2 linked regions of the Rattus norvegicus genome follow. The protein of the gene in region 1 interacts with the protein of each later gene in a pairwise test. Links are inferred from orthologs where the notes say so. Each region holds a gene or a part of one and is shown in the gene's direction. Other genes may lie near its edges.

Region 1 (3,813 bases):
ACCCCAGAGAAGGGTTGACTTGGAAATGGTCTAAGATACAGTCAGTAGAATAATGTAGTACAACACAAAATTGAAGCTTTTGTGAGGCTGACGGCCCTCAACAGTTAGTTATAAGTAAGTGCCAAAGAAAAGGAAGGCATGCTGGGCAGCAAAGTAGCCAAGCTCTCCTCTTGAGGAGGCCACCTAGTAACTCTGCCTCCTTTGCTGCAGGTCTCTCCATCCCCCAAGCCTCACACATCCCTGCCTCCACTGCCTCTGTATGACCAGCCTCCCAGCAGCCCTTACCCCAGTCCAGATAAGAGGAGCTCCCAGTTCTTCCCCCGGTCTCCTTCAGCCAATGGTAAGAGTTCTGGGCAGCTGCCCCTCACCACTTACTTCTACACTGGCATCTTTACTATCCCATCATAACCTCTTGGATTCTCTCCCTCAGAAAACTGCCTTCATGCTGAGTCACCAGGATTCTCACAGGCCTCAAGACAGACTCCTGACACCTCGTATGGCAAGCTGCGGCCTGTAAGTCTCCCACCTTGAAGGGTTATGGATTACATAGTTCTTCCAAACTGAAAATGATTTATTTTGCCCACATGGTCCATTTTGCTATTGATCTGCCATGCAGTGCTTTGGGGAAGTATAAAGAACTGTAAGAAAGAAAAGCTATATTTTTGGTTGTGAGTCCAGCCTTTAATGGTTGAGCCATGGCTTCCCAGTACATATGCAGTAGAGGGCTGCCTTTTCTTGCCTCAAGATATGCCTAATCCTACAGAGACTTGATACACCAAGGTAAGGGTGTATGGGAGAGGCACCCTCTCAGAGATGAGGAAGATGGTGGAGGAACCCTGTGGCAAGTTACCAGGAGAAGGGGGCAGCATTCGGCATGTATATACATAAATTTTTTAAAGGAAAGAAAGAATGAAAGAAAACAAGAAAGAAAACAAAGGCTATAAAATGAGCTGATATGGTGGTGTATACCTTTAATCTCAGCATTCAGGAGGCAAAGGCAGGTGAATCTCTGAGTTCTAGGCTATATAGCAAATCCTAGGCCAGACCCTGCCACCGCCGTGGTCATCGTCATCGTCATCATCATCATCATCATAGGTGTTGGAGAGATGGCTTAGCAGTTAAGAGCACTTGCTGCTATTGTAGAGGGTCTGAGTTTGGTTTCCAGCACCAGCATACAGTGTGGCTCACAACTGTCTGCAACTCCAATTCCAGGAAGTCCGGAAGGCTCTCGTCTGCCCTTCTCGGGAGCCAGGGATGCACATTACATATGGTTGCATACAGACAAACGTACACATAAAGTAAAATCATTTTTTAAACTCAGTTCACATCCCAGTCACAGCCCCCACTCCTTCCTCTCTTCCTAGTCCCACCTTTACAAGTCTCTTTCCCATTGCCCCAAGAAGGGAAAAACCCCTCCCTTGGGTACTGCCTCACCCTAGGACATCTGGTCCCAGCAGAACTAGACATGTCCTCTCCTACTGAGGCCCAACTAGGCAATCCAGGTAATCAGAAGGGGATCCAATGGCAGGGAACAGAGACCAAGACTGCCACTTCTTAGGGGACCCACATTCAAACCAAGCTGCACATTTGCTATGAATGTGTAGGGGCTCTAGGTCCAGCTCCTGCATGCTCCTTGGTTGGTTTCCCAGACTCTGAGCCCCCATGGTCCCAGGTTAGTTGACTCTGAAGGTCTTCTTGTGGTGCCCTTGACCCCCTCTGGCTCACTTGTATCTCCCACTCTTCCACAAAACTCCCAAGCTCCACCTGATGTTTGGTTATGGATCTCCTCATCTGCCTCTATCTGATGTTGGATCAAGCCTCTCCAACAGTTAAGCATATACCTAAGCTAAGTTCCTGTTTGCAAGCATAGCAGCGTATTAATAACAGTATCGGGTTAGCTCTCTCATTGTGTGGGTCTCAAGTTGGGACAGTCATTGGCTGGCTGTTCCCTCAGTCTCTGCTCCATCTTTATCTCTGCACATCTTGTAAGCAAGACGGATTTTGAGTTGAAGGTTTTGTGGGTAGGTTGATGTCCTCTTTCCTCCTCTGAAAGACTTGCCTGAGTACAGGAGGTACCCACTTCAGTCTCAGTATCTCCCACTAATAGGATCTGAGCTAGAGTCAGCCCCATAGACTCCCTGTATCCTCTCCTGTCCCAGGCTTCCAGAGAGTCACCAGAGATAACCTCAGCTATTTCCATTCTCAATCCAGCCATCTCCCACCTCCTTCTCTTCCCGTACCTGATCACCATATCTGTTCCCCTCCTCTTCTACCCATTCCCTCTTCCCATCCACCTCTGATGACTATTTAGTTTCCCCTTTTGAGTAAGATTCATGCATCTTCCCTTGGGACCTCCTTACTACTCAGTTTCTTTGGGTCTGTGGATTGTAGCATGGTTATCCTGCATTTCATGGCTAATGTCCACTGATAACTGAGAACATACCACGCATGTCTTTCTGGCTCTGGGTTACCTCACTCAGGATGATATTCTCAGGTTCCATCCATTTGCCTGTAAAATTCATGATGTCTTTGTTTTTAATAGCTGAGTAACCTGTTATGTAGATATACCACAGTTCCTGTATCCATTCTTCAGTTGAGGGACATCTAGGCTGTTTCCAGTTTCTGACTATTACGAATAAAGCTGCTATGAACATAGGTGAACAAATGTCCCTGTGGTGTAGTGGGGCATCTTTTGGGTATATGCTTAGGAGTGGTATAGCTGGGTCTTGAGGTAGAACTATTTCCAGTTTTCTGAGAAACCACCAGTTTGATTTCCAGGGTGGTCATACAAGTTTGTACTCCCACCAGCAATAGAGGAGTGCTCCCCTTGCTCCACATCTTTGACAACATGTGCTGTCACTTGAGTTTTTGATCCTAGCCTTTCTAATAGGTGCAAGATGGAATCAATCTCATAGTCGTTTTGATTTGCATTTCCCTGATGACTAAGGATGCTGAACATTTAAGTGTTTCTCTGCCATATGAGATTTCCCTATTGAGAATTCTCTGTTTAGCTCTGTACCCCACTTTATAATTGGGTTGTTTGGTTTGTTGTCTAATTTCTGGAGTTCTTTATATATTTTGGATATTAGCCCTCTGTTGGGTATAGGGTTGGTGAAGATCTTTCCCTAATCTGTAGGTTGCCATTTTGTCTTACTGACAATGCCCTTGCCTTACAAAAGTTTTTCGGTTTCATGAGGTCCCTTTTATCAATTGCTAATGTTAGAGCCTAAGCCATTGATGTTCTGTTCAGGAAGTTGTCTCCTGTACCAATGTGTTCAAGGCTATTCCCCACTTTCTTTTCTGCTAGAGTTTATGTTTAGGTCTTCGATCCACTTGGACTTGTTTTCTCCATGGTATAAATATGGATCTATGTTCATTCTTCTACATGGAGACATCCAGTTAGATCAGCACCATTTGTGGAAGATGCTTTCTCTTTTCCATCTAAGGTTTTGCCTTTGTTCAAAAGTCAAGTGTCCATAGGTGTGTGGATTTGTTTCAGGGTCTCTGACTGGATTCCATTCATCAACCTGCCTGCTCTTATACTAATACCATGTAATTTTTATCACTATTGCTCTGTAGTATAGCTTGATGTCAGGGATGGTAATACTGCCAGAAGTTCTTTTCTTTCTCAGGATTGTTTTAACTATCCTGGGTGGGGTGTTGTTGTTGTTGTTGTTGTTGTTGTTTTTGTTGTTGTTGTTGTTGTTTTTCCATATGAAGTTGAGAATTGCTCCCTTAAGGTCTGTAAAGAATTACGTTGGAATTTTTGTGGGAATTGCATTTTATGGGAATCTGTAGATTGCTTTTGGTAAG
Region 2 (3,913 bases), on another chromosome or scaffold:
TTTAGCCCTAGATGTCCTGGAATTCTGTAGATCAGGGTGTCCTTGAACTCAGAGATCTGCCTTTCTCTGCCTCCTGAGTGCTGGGATTAAGGGTGGGTTCCATCACTGCCTGGCAACCTTGAATTCTTGATCCTTCTATCACTGCCTCCTGAATGTTGGGGTTACTAGCATGCCACCGCGCCCTGTTTTATGAGGTCCTGGGGATCAAACACAAAGCCTCAGGATAAGAGCATTCTACCAACCAAGCTATAACCTCAAGCATGCTGGTTGCTTTTTTTTTTTTTTTTTTTTTTTTTTTTGGTTCTTTTTTTTCCGGAGCTGGGGACCGAACCCAGGGCCTTGCGCTTGGAAGCGCTCTACCACTGAGCTAAATCCCCAACCCCATGCTGATAGCTTTTTAACTTCAAACACCAAGACTGGCAGCATCCCCGTTGCAACAATACTTAAGCCAGATGAATGGGCAGTACAGTGTAGTCAAATGCCTTTAACTCCTGCACTTGGGCGGCAGGCAGGAGGTTCAGTAGTTCTTGGTTAGCTTGGGCTATCTAGGGCGATTGTCTCAAAAATTGTATATAGGGGTGTAATTTGAACGCATTGGAACAAGGTTTGACAATCTTGGGGGGTGGGGGGGCTGTTTTTTACAGACACTGAGATCCAGGGTGTAAGAAAATGTGCTCTGTCTGTAGGCCCAGGATGAACAAGAATTTATAAAGGCTTTCTTGTTCAGGTTTTCTGGAGGTGGGTGAGGTTGTGCCTTGTGGTGGTGGTAGAACGAAACGGCATCATTCTCAGTAACCTGGTTGAACACCTATGAAGTGTGAAGGAACTGAGGACAGGGCAAAGGGGCAAGGGGAAGGTTGGTCCTCACCAAGCTGATTCAACTAGCAGGACTAAATAAAACCGATAGACTGCGGACTGAGTTTCGAGAGCTGGCGTGAGTCAGCAAAATGCCGAGGACTAAAGGACTTGGTGGGCGAGCAGCGGCACGCGCCTGCGGGGAAAGTCTCCAAGCTGCAAAGCAGCTCTCTCCCACGATACCCTGAGTCTAGGCGGGACTCCCCTTGCAGCACCTCCTATGCTCCCCGCTATGATAAACCTTGGGTGACTCTACCACGCCCCTCGATACAACCTACACTTTGCAGACAGCGAAAACCCTTACAGGTGGTTAACGTATACGCAAAACTGGAACTGCGCAGGCGTAGAGCCTGCCACGCCTGCTGGACTCCGCGGCGCTTGCGTCCCGTTCCTCTAGGCCCGCCTCTGGGCTCACGCAGCCTCTGCTTTCTTACGTCATCCGTGCGCATGCTCCTTGGGACGAAGGGTGCGATTTCGGGGTAGGGAGGAAGGGCAAGGAGGCGGTCCTAGGCCTACGTCTCACCACGACTGCGCAGGCTGGATCCCGAGTGAACATGGCGACTTGCGCCGATATCCTGCGGAGCGAGTTCCCAGAAATTGACGGGCAGGTCTTCGACTACGTGACTGGTGAGCGAAACTGAATTAACTGCCTGGGGAGGTCAAAGTGGAGGTCATGGGGGAAGACTGAGGGCAGACAGTACAGCAGACCGCTATCTGGGCTCTCCTCTGCGTGACCTCTTATCTTGAGGGCCAGTGGGGTTTGGAGCCCCGAGTGAGCTGTACAGACACTGAAATTGCTCCTATATCCGTCCTACCCGGTGTCTGTCTTACTCTGCGGTACCCGGCCCAGGTGTTTTGCACAGTGGCAGCGCGGATTTCGAGTCTGTGGATGACCTGGTGGAAGCTGTCGGAGAACTCTTGCAAGAAGTGTCGGGGGACAGCAAGGATGACGCGGGCATTAGGGCAGTCTGTCAGCGCATGTACAACACTCTACGCCTGTAGGTGCCAAGGGAATGGAGTTGATGGGCAAAGGGAGGAGAATGGAGTACAAACAAGGGGGAAGGTCTGAAGGTTGTAAATCTTTTCTCCCAACTGACTCCGTTTTCTCCACCCCCGTAGGGCTGAACCGCAGAACCAGGGAAACAACCAGGTGCTACTGGACGCCCCCATCCAGTTGTCGAAGATAATGGAAAACTATGGTGAGAGTGAGGGGAGATTGAACTAGCTGCTTTCTGCCTTCCAACCCCAGCCACCTCGTCGCAGCGCAGGTCCCTCCATCTCTTCAAGGCTTGTAGGAGCTAGTGGTATTCTTGTGAACATAAAAGCTTGTAGAGAATAGGGGTTGGAGGGCTCTCCAAGCTGTTGTTGGTAATAGGAGGCATAGAGGCCTTGAAGCTAACAGACTTGGTTTTGCCAGTGTTGTGCCTTAACCAACAGCATGGTCTTAAAGGTATATCAGCCTCTGCTTAAATGTGAGGTCCTCTTGTCCTTTATTTACTTCAAGGCAGATAACCGTCTAGTCCAGTGTTATAATATTATCTTTAACACTGTTCCTGGTTCTTGTTAGTCTCTCAAAGTCTTCATCCCCTTCTCTCACGGAGAAGGTGACTGCTTTTCTTATCACTTACAGACTGTGACACCAAGCTTCCAGGACTGCTAAAGAGGGAACAGTCCTCGGTGAGGAGGAGAAGTGGGAAGGGGCTGTGCTGGGTGTGAGAGTTCACCATCTACTGAATAGTGGGTTTATTGAGATTTCTGGTGTGTCTTTGCCTGCATGTTTTCTTGTGTATCATCATGGGTAAGTTTTAGTGTTCGTTTGATGTGATTTCGGGAGTTCCTTTCTGAACCCGTACCCTAGTATAAACTGGCTGTGTTTGGAACTCACTCAGACAGTAAATGCAAAGAAACTAGAGAAGGCCGAAGCTCGACTGAAGGCAAAGCAGGAGAAGCGTTCAGAGAAGGAAACGCTGAAGACCAGCAGCCCCCTGTGAGTTTGGAAGAAGGGGTCTAAGCAGGAAGGAAGCAGGACAGGTTCTGGTATTGAAGGACTTCCAGAAGCCCTTCAAACCGTCCATTTCTCTTTTTAAAGAGTCTTGGAGGAGGCATCAGCTAGCCAGGCAGGCAGCCGAAAAGAGAGTCGGTTGGAATCATCTGGCAAGAACAAGTCCTATGATGTGCGAATTGAGAACTTCGATGTCTCTTTTGGTGACAGGTGAGGGAATGGCTGGTGACAGGATCTTTCTAACTAAAGTAGAACCTGGGAGCAGTGAGACTAAAACAGTGTTAAAGTTCCTTTGCTTCTGTTCCTGGACTATCGTTCATCTCTTCTCAACCACCCCTCAGGGTCCTGCTGGCCGGAGCAGACGTGAACTTGGCATGGGGCCGACGCTACGGGCTAGTGGGACGCAATGGTCTGGGGAAGACGACATTGCTAAAGATGCTGGCCACCCGGAGCTTGCGTGTGCCAGCCCATATTTCCCTACTGCATGTAGAGCAGGAAGTTGCTGGAGATGACACCCCTGCCCTGCAGAGTGTGCTGGAAAGTGACACCATACGAGAGGACCTGCTACGGCAGGAACGGGGACTCAGCCTCAAGATTGCTGCTGGCAGGTGAAGGCTTAAGCCTAGAGGGTACAAGTAGTAACTCCTGTCCTGCTTGGTTTGTGTTAACTCGACACAAGTGAGAGTTATTTGGGAAGAGGCACTTTAATTGAGACGATGCCTTCATAGACCGGCCCAGGGGCAGGCCTGTGTTGCATTTTCTTAATTGGTGATTGATGTGGGAGGACCCAGCTCACTGTAGACACAGTGACATCAGGCTCCTGGTCCCGGGTTCAATAAGAAAGCAGGCTGAGCAAGCAGTAAGCGGCGTTCCTCTGTGGCTCCGTTTCAACTCCTGCCCTGACTTTCCTCAGTGATGGAGTGTGGCCTGAAGTTACAAGCTGGGATGAACCCTTTCCTCCCGACATTGCTTTTTGTCATGTGTCTCTCATCACAACGATAGAAACCCTGACTAAGACTCTGTCCCTTAGATAGTGTCTCCATAATTCACATGACC

Evidence for each region.
Region 2: the proteins of Fchsd2 (region 1) and Abcf3 interact in binary tests that used the Homo sapiens proteins (3 or more experiments, as listed by UniProt). The two-hybrid records come from large-scale screens. The link is inferred for Rattus norvegicus from reciprocal best matches to the Homo sapiens genes FCHSD2 and ABCF3.

What each region holds. Positions count from the first base shown.
Region 1 is NC_086019.1:165,087,060-165,090,872, forward strand, and holds part of Fchsd2 (F-BAR and double SH3 domains protein 2), read left to right. Parts: intron 1-210; coding exon 211-340; intron 341-430; coding exon 431-513; intron 514-3,813. UniProt on the Homo sapiens protein: Adapter protein that plays a role in endocytosis via clathrin-coated pits. Contributes to the internalization of cell surface receptors, such as integrin ITGB1 and transferrin receptor.
Region 2 is NC_086029.1:93,854,005-93,857,917, reverse strand, and holds the start of Abcf3 (ATP-binding cassette sub-family F member 3), read left to right. Parts: upstream 1-1,322; 5' UTR 1,323-1,409; coding exon 1,410-1,482; intron 1,483-1,705; coding exon 1,706-1,853; intron 1,854-1,974; coding exon 1,975-2,054; intron 2,055-2,485; coding exon 2,486-2,532; intron 2,533-2,744; coding exon 2,745-2,842; intron 2,843-2,944; coding exon 2,945-3,067; intron 3,068-3,198; coding exon 3,199-3,465; intron 3,466-3,913.